Drosophila melanogaster: one gene and its partner. The protein of the gene in region 2 interacts with the protein of the main gene of each other region in a pairwise test. Each region holds a gene or a part of one and is shown on either strand. Other genes may lie near its edges.

Region 1 (4,912 bases), on a different chromosome or scaffold from region 2:
TAAAAACTTCACATGCTGGTTACTGACTTTAATATAGTTGATAGACTAAACCGACTCAGTTATACCCTTAATTTAAATGTAAATAGGCCAATATGATATGTTTCATTCATTTTAAAAATGAATAAAAGAAAACATGTTTTGGTATAAATATATATATATATAGCAATATGTTCCTTGTACTGCCAACATTTCAACTAACTTTGTATGAGTGTTTTATGGGTTCACTGATAATGAGATTAGGAATAGATTTTCATTGAGTGGGAGTAAATTATTTTCAATTGCCTGCTTAAACTAATCTATAGATTTCAGTCATTTCATTTCAGTCATGATTTTATTAAAAAAAAAGAATGTTTGATACTAATTTCATTGAGTACAAATGGATTAAAAGGTGATTAATGATTGCGATAGAACTGTTAGATTCACTAAAACCAAAATCCAACTAATCTTAACACACCACTTTTTTGAAAAATTAAAGCAGCTATTCAGCTTATTTTATATTTATTTCCAAGCTTAATGAATGCAAATAAGTGCCTATTTCAGATATGTTATTTTCTTAAACATATTTATTGTTTATTAACCAATTTCGTTGAACAATGTAATAAACTTTTCGACATAATATAGAGATTCTTTAACAGTTTTGAGTAGAAATGCACATATAAATAAAATAAAATTTCTGCGACCAGTTGAACTGTAAAGCGCTCAGATTAACTGATTTAAAACGTTTTGTTTCAGTGCGTTGGACATTCGATCCGTGGCTTAGTTGGTCACATAGATTTCGAACTCCTTGTAGGCCAGCTCCTCGCCGCCGTACGGAATGTAGCAGCATCCGTGGGAGGGCTGCACCTTGCCCACAGTGATAGTTCCGTCGTGGGTGGCACGGCCGATGAACAGTGGTTCGCCCTCGGCGGTCTCTCCGGCAGGCAGGGCGTTGGGCGGGATGTTTCCGGCATCCACGGGCAACCACTGGCCGCCGCCGGCGCACAGCACCTCGTATTCGGCGTGGCCGTGCTCACCACCTCCCCAGGCTACGTAGGTCACTCCGTGGGAGGGATGCAGCTTGCCGGGAATGAGGTCGCCCTCATGGCGGGCACGGGCGATGTACAGCTGCTCGCTGCTGTCGAATCCTCCCTCGAGGGCGTTGGGTGGCACCTCACCGTTGGCGGCGGGCACCCAGCATCCTGGTCCGCTTCCTGTGGGCGCGGCGAAGCCCATGACGGGAGCCGATGGAGCGGGCTCTGCAAGGAAATAGTGGCATTTGTTAGAAATTCATGAAATCATTAGCAAATCTTATACATATATGTATATATAATAGGCAAATACATATTTATAGCAAGGATATAGTCTTGGAGAGCAATTAAGTGTTATTGATCAGTACTCAATAGTACCAACTCTACGAGTAGCGGGTATAGTAATACTCGATATTCAAACTGAAGCAGCTGACTAGACAATAGATGCCATTGAGCAGCTGTAGAACAATAGCTAACTTAGATCATTACGATGGGTAAACTAATCAGAGAGGGTAAACACCTGTGCTTTCCGTTTGATAGAAAAGGCGTGGAACAGAGTGTAAACTCACCATCAATCAGCCAGGTGCCGCTGGCACCCCATCCCGTGCAGATGCCGACGAAGTTGACCGGGAACAGGCTACCAGCATCGTAGGAAAGGAAGGCGGCGGCGTCTCCTTCGCGGCCAACGGTGATGACATTGTCGTACCAGCGCACCCAGAAGCCACGGAACTCTCCGGCATCTAGGATGCCCGGAGTGGGCACCTCAGCGACTTCGGGCTTCTGGCGGTCCTTGCGGATCACCGACTTGGTGTTCTCCCATCCTCCCAGAAAGATCTCGAAAATGGGACCGTTCTCCTCGGGCGCGGGTGTGAGTGCCAAATGAGCATCCTTGGGGGAACGCACCTTGAAGGTAAAAACTCCACCGCTGGCGGGGAAGAATTGGTACTCCAACTTATCGGGGGTGTTGACTTCTGCAAATGAGATGGCATATTAGTACAAATTCTCAGAGGCAACTGTACACTCGGCTACGTTTTTCTGAGCCAACTGTACCCACTACTACTTTGAAAGGTGGGAAAGTTTTGAGGTTTGAATTAACAACCTCAAACATGAGAATGTTGTCATAAAAAATACTTGAACTGGAAAGAATTCGTAGCTATTTTTATGTTTGTTAGGTTTCTACGTACATATAAACATACATATATCAGCATGTTTAGCGTCTGTTTTTGTTTTCGCTTGCTTATTAGCACCATTCGCATGATGTCATTTAGATCGCCATCAGTTCTTCGCAACAAATTGTTCTAGCTAATTCCACTCAAGCTTAATTTCGAGTTTTGAGCTCTGAGCCGGCTCTACTGCCACTCGAGCGACAAACATTTGCCCAGATATATGCGAGGTTTGTGCTATTCACTTTGAATAGATTACACGAATGGTTTCTCAAGCAGCATTATTTCGCATGACATCATTGGAGGTGCATCTTTCGTCTGACCTCCCTAGGGTCAACCCTGCTGAATTCCTATTGATTATTGTCGGAGTTCAAGGCGAAGACCAGTGACTCATCGCATATGGTGAACAATTTCGGACACCTTTGGTCGAGAATCAATTCGATGGGTCATAAATTAGGCCAAATAAAGGCAGTCCAATATGTATAGCATATTGCCGTTAATTGAATCTGGACGATCACAAGGTGAAAGTCGCTTGTATTTTTCACTGGTAAAAACCCAGCATAGATAAAGAATGGGATGTTTCGATTCTAGGAATTGGACGACACAATGCTATTTTGGTCGTGGGCCAAAAATTCCGCCGCACATTTCCCTATCTTTAAATTCACCCAATTATCCATTCCATTATCCAACTGCTCAGGGCACTCCACCCACACCCACTGGGAAACTCACCGATTGGCATGATTGCTGTTTCAATCAACGATGTTCGCTTACTGAGATTCTGATTCAAACTGCCCCAATGGAGCCCAAATGCCGGCGAGGTAAGCAATGCTAAAAAACCGAGACGGTGAGAGAGTAAAAGCTCCAAGAGCTTTGGCGCTCTCACTTGCAAAGTGGGAGATCGTTGGCCATATAGAAAGTATTCGAACTGTACCAGCTCGAATAGCTAACTTATTCACATAGCGGTATACTGCACATGCTAAGGCTTATCTTTAATTATTTTAAAGGCAATTATTTTTCTTAAATGTAAATCTTAATTAAAGGCTGATAATTTCTAGCATAATGGCATAGCTTTAAAAAAAATTTCTTTACTTACAAATGTACATATAACTATTTTGTACATGGGCACAATATTAGATAATTGTAATTTCCTTTTTAACTTTTTGTTCCCTGGACTTTCACCTCGTGGTAAGGGCATGTAAGCTTCGGTATAACTAAGGTAGTTTTGTCACCTAGTTTTGCTTAAGAGGTCTATGACTCAGGTTGGCAAAAGCTGCTGCTTAGTCATCAGAACCATAAGCAAGCTTTTATTGCTAAAATGCTTTTTCTATGGGCATGATAATTTTCATATCGCTATGCGAATAAATATTTACTATTTACTACTGTATGCAAGGTGTACAATTAGTATGCAAGGCACTTAATGATGTGACCTATTCCAAAAAAGGAAGGCCCTAAAAAAATCTATTAAATAATGAGCTATAAATTGGTTAAAAGAATTGGTTGATCTTAAAATAATGAATTTCTTGAGTATAAGAGACTTACTTCTATACTCTATGATGTTCCAATGCTTCTAAAATATATGATTAACTTTCATTTCAGCTAGGGTACATTCTATTCGATCAACTTGTGTTTCGCCTTCGTTTGCCGTTAGTAGTGTCGTCACTTATTTTGGCGTCATGTGCCGCTTTTATATTGTGCGGTCACATGGATATCCAAACCAGGGCATCAAAAGCTACTGTCAATGATTTCACCGCAAGGGTCCAAAATGGTTGATGCTGACATAATGTGCTAGACTCTAGACAACAATAATAATAAGATTACCCATTGGGTCATCATTTATTTATTGCGCTGCCGAAGTAGATTTAAAAAAGTATAGTTGCAGCATATGGTAGCATACTTTTGGGGTCACCCTCTAATTGAGTGCCAAATGGTAAGACTGTTTTTTTTTACCATGCTTTTTTATCCGTCCTGTGACGGAAGCGGGATTATCTTTCTTTACGTCACCACTGCTTATTTCTTGGCCTCTCAATGTCAGTCGGTTTTCTTTCGTCTCGCCGGTTGGTCGCACTTTTTTTTACATTTATATCGAAACAACGTGCATGCGCAGAAATCCCCACGAAGTAATATTGTCTAAAATAAACAAATTGTTATTTGTGTTCCCAGCTGCCGGTGGCCGTGCCAAATTGTCTTGTGATAAGAGTAGATCAATTGCTCACGCCGTGCAACTTGGTGTATTTATAACGGAGACAGCTGAACACACAGCCAAAAATATATAAACATACATACACACATACTGTGCACGACGACAGACGAGTAAACAAACAATGCACTGCTCAGGAAAGGACTTAATTTGTTCTTAACTGTGGCGTAGTACTAGATCATTTTACAAAGAGGTTACACTCGTGTTGTTTGGGTCAGTTCAGTAGAAGCATGGAAAATGGCTTCTTAAATATTTTTAAAGGCTCTAGGCGAAACATTGTTGTAGTTTGTTCTTTGTTTCGTTTGTTATGAGTCAGGCGTCTGAAGTTTAACCTTAATAAGTATAAAACGCATGCCGTCAAAATATTTCATCATTTATATCTAATCTTTCAGATAACTTTTCAACAGAATGCACTTTTCCCATTGACGAGCCCCCAAAAATTCTGCTCAGATAAACTGGCGAAACAAGTTTAATCTGTTTACACTTTCCCATTTAGTTTTATTGCTCAGTTTGCATAACACAGTGACCTCTGGAATGCTGGGCCA
Region 2 (5,082 bases):
GTATTTTATCGTTTCACCCTTTTGGCCTTTTCCATCGCACCGAGTAATTAGTATGTATAGTGTTGTGCTGCGTGCGCTGGTTGTAGATACAGATACTTTCAGTAGCCAGCATATACTTTCTGTATCTACGCAAACGCTTTCGCAGCAGGTGAGCCTGCTTTTAGGCGCTCTGCGAGCCTGTTCCCATCGTGGAGCGTGCCAAATGTTTGGTTGTGTTCCAAGTCCCGCCACAATCTGCGCGTTAACGCCCCCTGCCACCAGCGGGGGGTTAATGGTGGCGGGCACAAGGACAAGGTTAAGGGTGCTCGCCAAGCGCGTTTGCAAAACGATAACGGGGTTGCGTTAGAACAAGCTCACCATGGCAAACTTTTAAAGTGCGTACAGTAAAAAAAAAAAAAGATGGGCTTAAGCCATTTTCATGTGCTATTATGCGTGTTATTATCTTTAAAAACATTTTCAATCAATAATTGTTTATTTTATTATATTAATATATTGGTATTTTTATGGAAATATGTAAAAAAGAAAAAAATAATTATTGCTTGAAAATTCTTTTTATAACAATCGAAGTGTGTACTTAAATATTTGTTAGTCTTTTTTAAGATTTTAATTTCTGCGCAAAACCTTTCCTGAGTATCTGGATGTACTTTTATAAATACCATGTGCCTGAATAAATTATAAAATGCGGAATGCATTTCACGTGCATATGTAAACATTTTAATGTTTGAGAGGTCGTAATAAAAATTCCTGAAATTTAACCATTTCTAATTATCTGACCCATTTATGGCTTTCGAGCAGTGTCATGTTTGTTTATTAAAACGGCCCAAAGCGTGAAAATGCTTATTTTTACCCACCAAAAGAGGCAATCCATTATGCTCAGTGGCAGCCGCATTTTCCGGCCAAACAACAAACGTGATCCATTGAACGTACCCACTCGCAGCTAGGCAAACAGTACTTCCCTCCTGGCCAAATGGAATTGGAAATGATAATGGAAATTCTACAATTTGAACAAGCATCGAGTGTGTACAAAGATATATCTTTAGATCCACGTACTTCCCGATTCCGTAGGTGGAAGGAGAGCGAATGCATTTGTTCGTCTGACTTTGTATCTACATATATAATCTATCTGTGCATACGGAAGTTCAGTAAAGATAAAGACACGTGGCCAACTATATAGTAAAAGTGCATTTTAATCGTCTTTTACCATGGTTTTCTGTTATAATAAGCAAATGTATTTTTTTGTCTTTACCTGTATATATCTACGCTATTAATAAAACTATAATAAGTAATATATTTGAAGTTATATATTCTGCAAAAGTATTAATTATCACTGAGTTTGTGGATATTACTATAAAGTTAGTTATAAAATTTTTCAAAAAGTTTAATACTTTCACATCAAAGTTATCAATCAAAGCTAATTACGGAATAGTCCTTCGACAATTCGAATCAATTGGAGATGCATAAATCAGCATTGCCTTGACTTAATGGAGAGGCAGATGCAAAATGTGTAAACCCATGAGATGGAGATGCGCCCCATAAGCTGGACTGTGCATCGAAAGTTGCATCCACATGCACATGCACACACGCACAGCGACATCCATGCCGCGTCGTTGAATGCAATTTCAAGCAGAACGATCCGAAATAAAAATCCAAAAATCTGAGCAACGTAGGCGCCTGCAATTCCAGTTTGGATTTTGCCGCCAAGAGTCAATAGCCTCCTATGGATATAGACTTCACCCCAATGTATGGTCGCTGGAGAGCGGCACCAGACCAGTTTCCCGAGGCGGCCCAAGACCAAACCGAAAGAGAGCCAGCAAGAGAATCCGGGGAACTGGGAGAGCGGCAAGTCCACATAGCAGAGCCCGGCGGAGGCCTTTTTAGTTGTTTGACGCGCCATTTGCTAGCCAACATTCGTTGCGTGCGGTTAAAGATACAAAGATACTCCCGGCGCACAAATAAGATACTCGCGAGTGGCACTGCGGAAACATCGATGAGCCAACCGATACATATCCAAAAATATCCATATATCTTAAACGAAACTCGTGTCATATCGCCCAGTTTACTGGCTAATTAGAGGGGCAAAGAAGGGCCAAAATAATACATTTTTTGGCCAGCAACATGTTTGATTGTTGATGCGCATGCGCCCTAAAGTATTCCATGCTACGTGGGTGGCCGACGTGTTAAAGGACAAAAAACGCAAGCCAAAGGACATTTCACAGACATTGACGCATTGCTCAACATTATCACATCGCCAAAGCTAAAGTGCAGTTCCAAGTGAGAAAAGCGGGCAGAAGTTAACGGATAATCGCCGAAGAATATTGAAATACATATCCCCCATCGTAACTGTGCAATCCTACCGAAGTTTACATAATCCCTTCGATATGTCCACCGCATCGTCGAGCAACTCCAGCGGCGAGGAGGCCAACAAAAAGTCCGGCTCCAACAACGAGGAGAGCTCCCACCTGCTGGAATCCGCCGAAAATGGAGCCAAGTACGGCTCCAGACAGCCGGTCAAAATCGTCAAAGCCAGCGATAATGGACGCACCAGCTCCACACCACATGTACGCAAAGATTCGCATGTTTTCATAGATAAGAGCACTGAGAAAAATAAGACATATATAAGTTTGAAATTTTGCAAATTATGATTAGTTGAAACTTATGTTTAAAGAAACAAACTATTTCTACTACGCTCAGAGCCTAAAGACTTAATCGTTAATTATTTCTTGTGCTCTGTATTTATGTTTTTTTCTCAGTGCTTGCTTAACTTTAGTTAATTAACGCTGTCCAGCTGGTTAGCCAAGTTATAATGCATCTTTTGATGTTGACCTTGGCTGAGAGACCACGGCGAAAGTTCAATTAACGCAGTGTGAAAAACGAGACAGGAAATAAAGTTGCTTAAGCAGCAAATATACAAATGCCCTCAATATAAAATAATCAAGTTGTGATGCCTTTCCAATGTAAGGGCATTAAAAATCTGCGTTGTAGCTCCAAATATTTGCTCAAAATAGGCAAACAATCTTTGTTGTTGCAGAAGTAAATGAGGGGCTGAAAGCAGAAAGATGTTGCCGCTAAAAGATACGAGATATAAATAGTTTACCAGGCAATTATCAGGCTGAAATGAGTATTTTTCCAATTCCAAAAGCTATCTCTATCAAGCGAGAGCACAAACAAAGAAAATAGAGTATAATTTGCCTTTTCTGAAACCGCACGAGTTCACATACCTTATCCGCTTAACATACATACATGTATTTTAAGCGATAAACAATGAAAACACAATAATGTTTTTCAGTGGACTTTATCTTAAATCCAGTACGTTTTGCTACATTCTGGTAGCTAAGCGTTCATTGATGGATCGCACAGCTTATCAAACTAATGAGTTCCGTTCCAAAAACAATGTGGAAACTTTCTATTTTTATTTGGTTTTATGTTGAACATGGTCACAATAGGCGAACAAATGCTATGAAATACAAATCATTACCTATAGAAAATTAATTTTGCCTTGCAAAGAATAATGTGATAAGTGAGCACTTCAAAAATAGGGGCGTATTCCCGATTCCCCGAAAGTAGAAACTAGAAATAACAATGGTCACAATACGGTTTTGTTTTGGAATAACCGAAACCATACGTACATATATGAATTTTATCAGACAAATTCAATTGAAACTCGTTCCACTGAATTCCCAAAATGAGTCGACAATTTTGTGGGTGTTTATTTTAGTACAAAGAACACACGCATTAAATAAATTTGAATTTGAATACACTGAATTCCCAAAATGAGTCAACAATTTTGTGGGTGTTTATTTTAGTACAAAGAACACACGCATTAAATAAATGCGACACCCCTTTAACTCTAAAAAGAAATGCACTTATATAGACACTGGAATGATTTTATGACTACCATTTGAATACGTTTTAAAATGCGACCCACAAAATTATAAAAAACTCGGCCAGTTCGATAATGAAGTGTGGCACATTTTTTGAATATCAATGAGTTGCCCTAAATGGTTCGCTATGATGGTTATAAAGCCATCACCGTTTTCACTTTCATTGTCATCGTAATACACACCAAATTAAGCCATTATAAAACAACTTTGAATAGTTTTGAGTATAATATTGAAAGTAGCACGATATACTCAAGGCCTTAGAGGAATTATTCAAAAAAAGATGGGTGCACATTTATTAAGGTATTTTAAAAACCAAATAATCTTAATAATAAGCACTGTTTCCATAAATACGCGTAAAATGTAGTAGGAATTTTTCGAACTATTTTTATGCAAATTTTATGAGCAATAGCCCGGGATTATTGTGCATATATTAACCTAGACCACTCAATAATTATGGAGTATTTAAGCGGAATTGGCTTATGCTCTACAGTTAACCAGTTTAGAGGAATGCCAAAAGGCATATTAAATTACCATTCTTACTTATGACGCGCACTGTTGCGCCTGCCACTGACATTGAAACGAACTTGAACCTCCGCCCATTTGGCCAGTATCATCAACGGGTTTGCGGGGGCGGTGGGACTTAGCACCCGAAAGTGGGGGACTTTAACTGGCAGTAATACTAATTTTAGATACAGAACGACAGGAAGGCACTCAGACAGGCAATGGATTGACCACATTAGCCGCAGACGGAACTCAAACAAACCAAGGCACAGAATCGTGGACAGATATCGATTTCAGACGCGAGATTTGAACGCTTCGCTTAGTCGCGACTGGCAATCTGGAGGTGTGTCACCCAGTCGACCAGAGCAAAGTGACAGTTAATATGTGGGCGTATATGTACATATACGCCTGTGCTGTTGCCACATGGCCTTCTCCTTTTTCCAGCTGCAAATCTTGGCGTGCATTTTCACGGAAGTGATTTGTTCTCTGCTCCTTCGTTTCGCGTGGGTCGCCAGATTGGCAATGGAACTTTGAGTGGGATTCGCCAGTGGGCGGCGACACATGAGATGAGGCAAGTTATAGGCGACGAAGAAATAGCCATAAATTACCCATATGCGCGAAATGGCTTTTACGATGGTCTCTTAGACATGCAATATGCAATAAGCGAAAATATTATGATAATGAGCGCTATTGTATCTAA

The links.
Region 1: the proteins of nebu (region 2) and CG10527 interact in a two-hybrid assay, tested with the Drosophila melanogaster proteins (one large-scale study listed by BioGRID).

The regions. Positions count from the first base shown.
Region 1 is NT_033778.4:21,069,826-21,074,737, forward strand, and holds CG10527 (uncharacterized protein), read right to left. Parts: upstream 2,965-4,912; 5' UTR 2,910-2,964; coding exon 2,900-2,909; intron 2,071-2,899; exon of another isoform or gene 1,979-2,070; coding exon 1,577-1,978; exon of another isoform or gene 1,236-1,576; coding exon 757-1,235; 3' UTR 543-756; downstream 1-542.
Region 2 is NT_037436.4:12,829,359-12,834,440, reverse strand, and holds the start of nebu (nebulosa), read left to right. Parts: upstream 1-1,889; 5' UTR 1,890-2,378; coding exon 2,379-2,558; intron 2,559-5,082.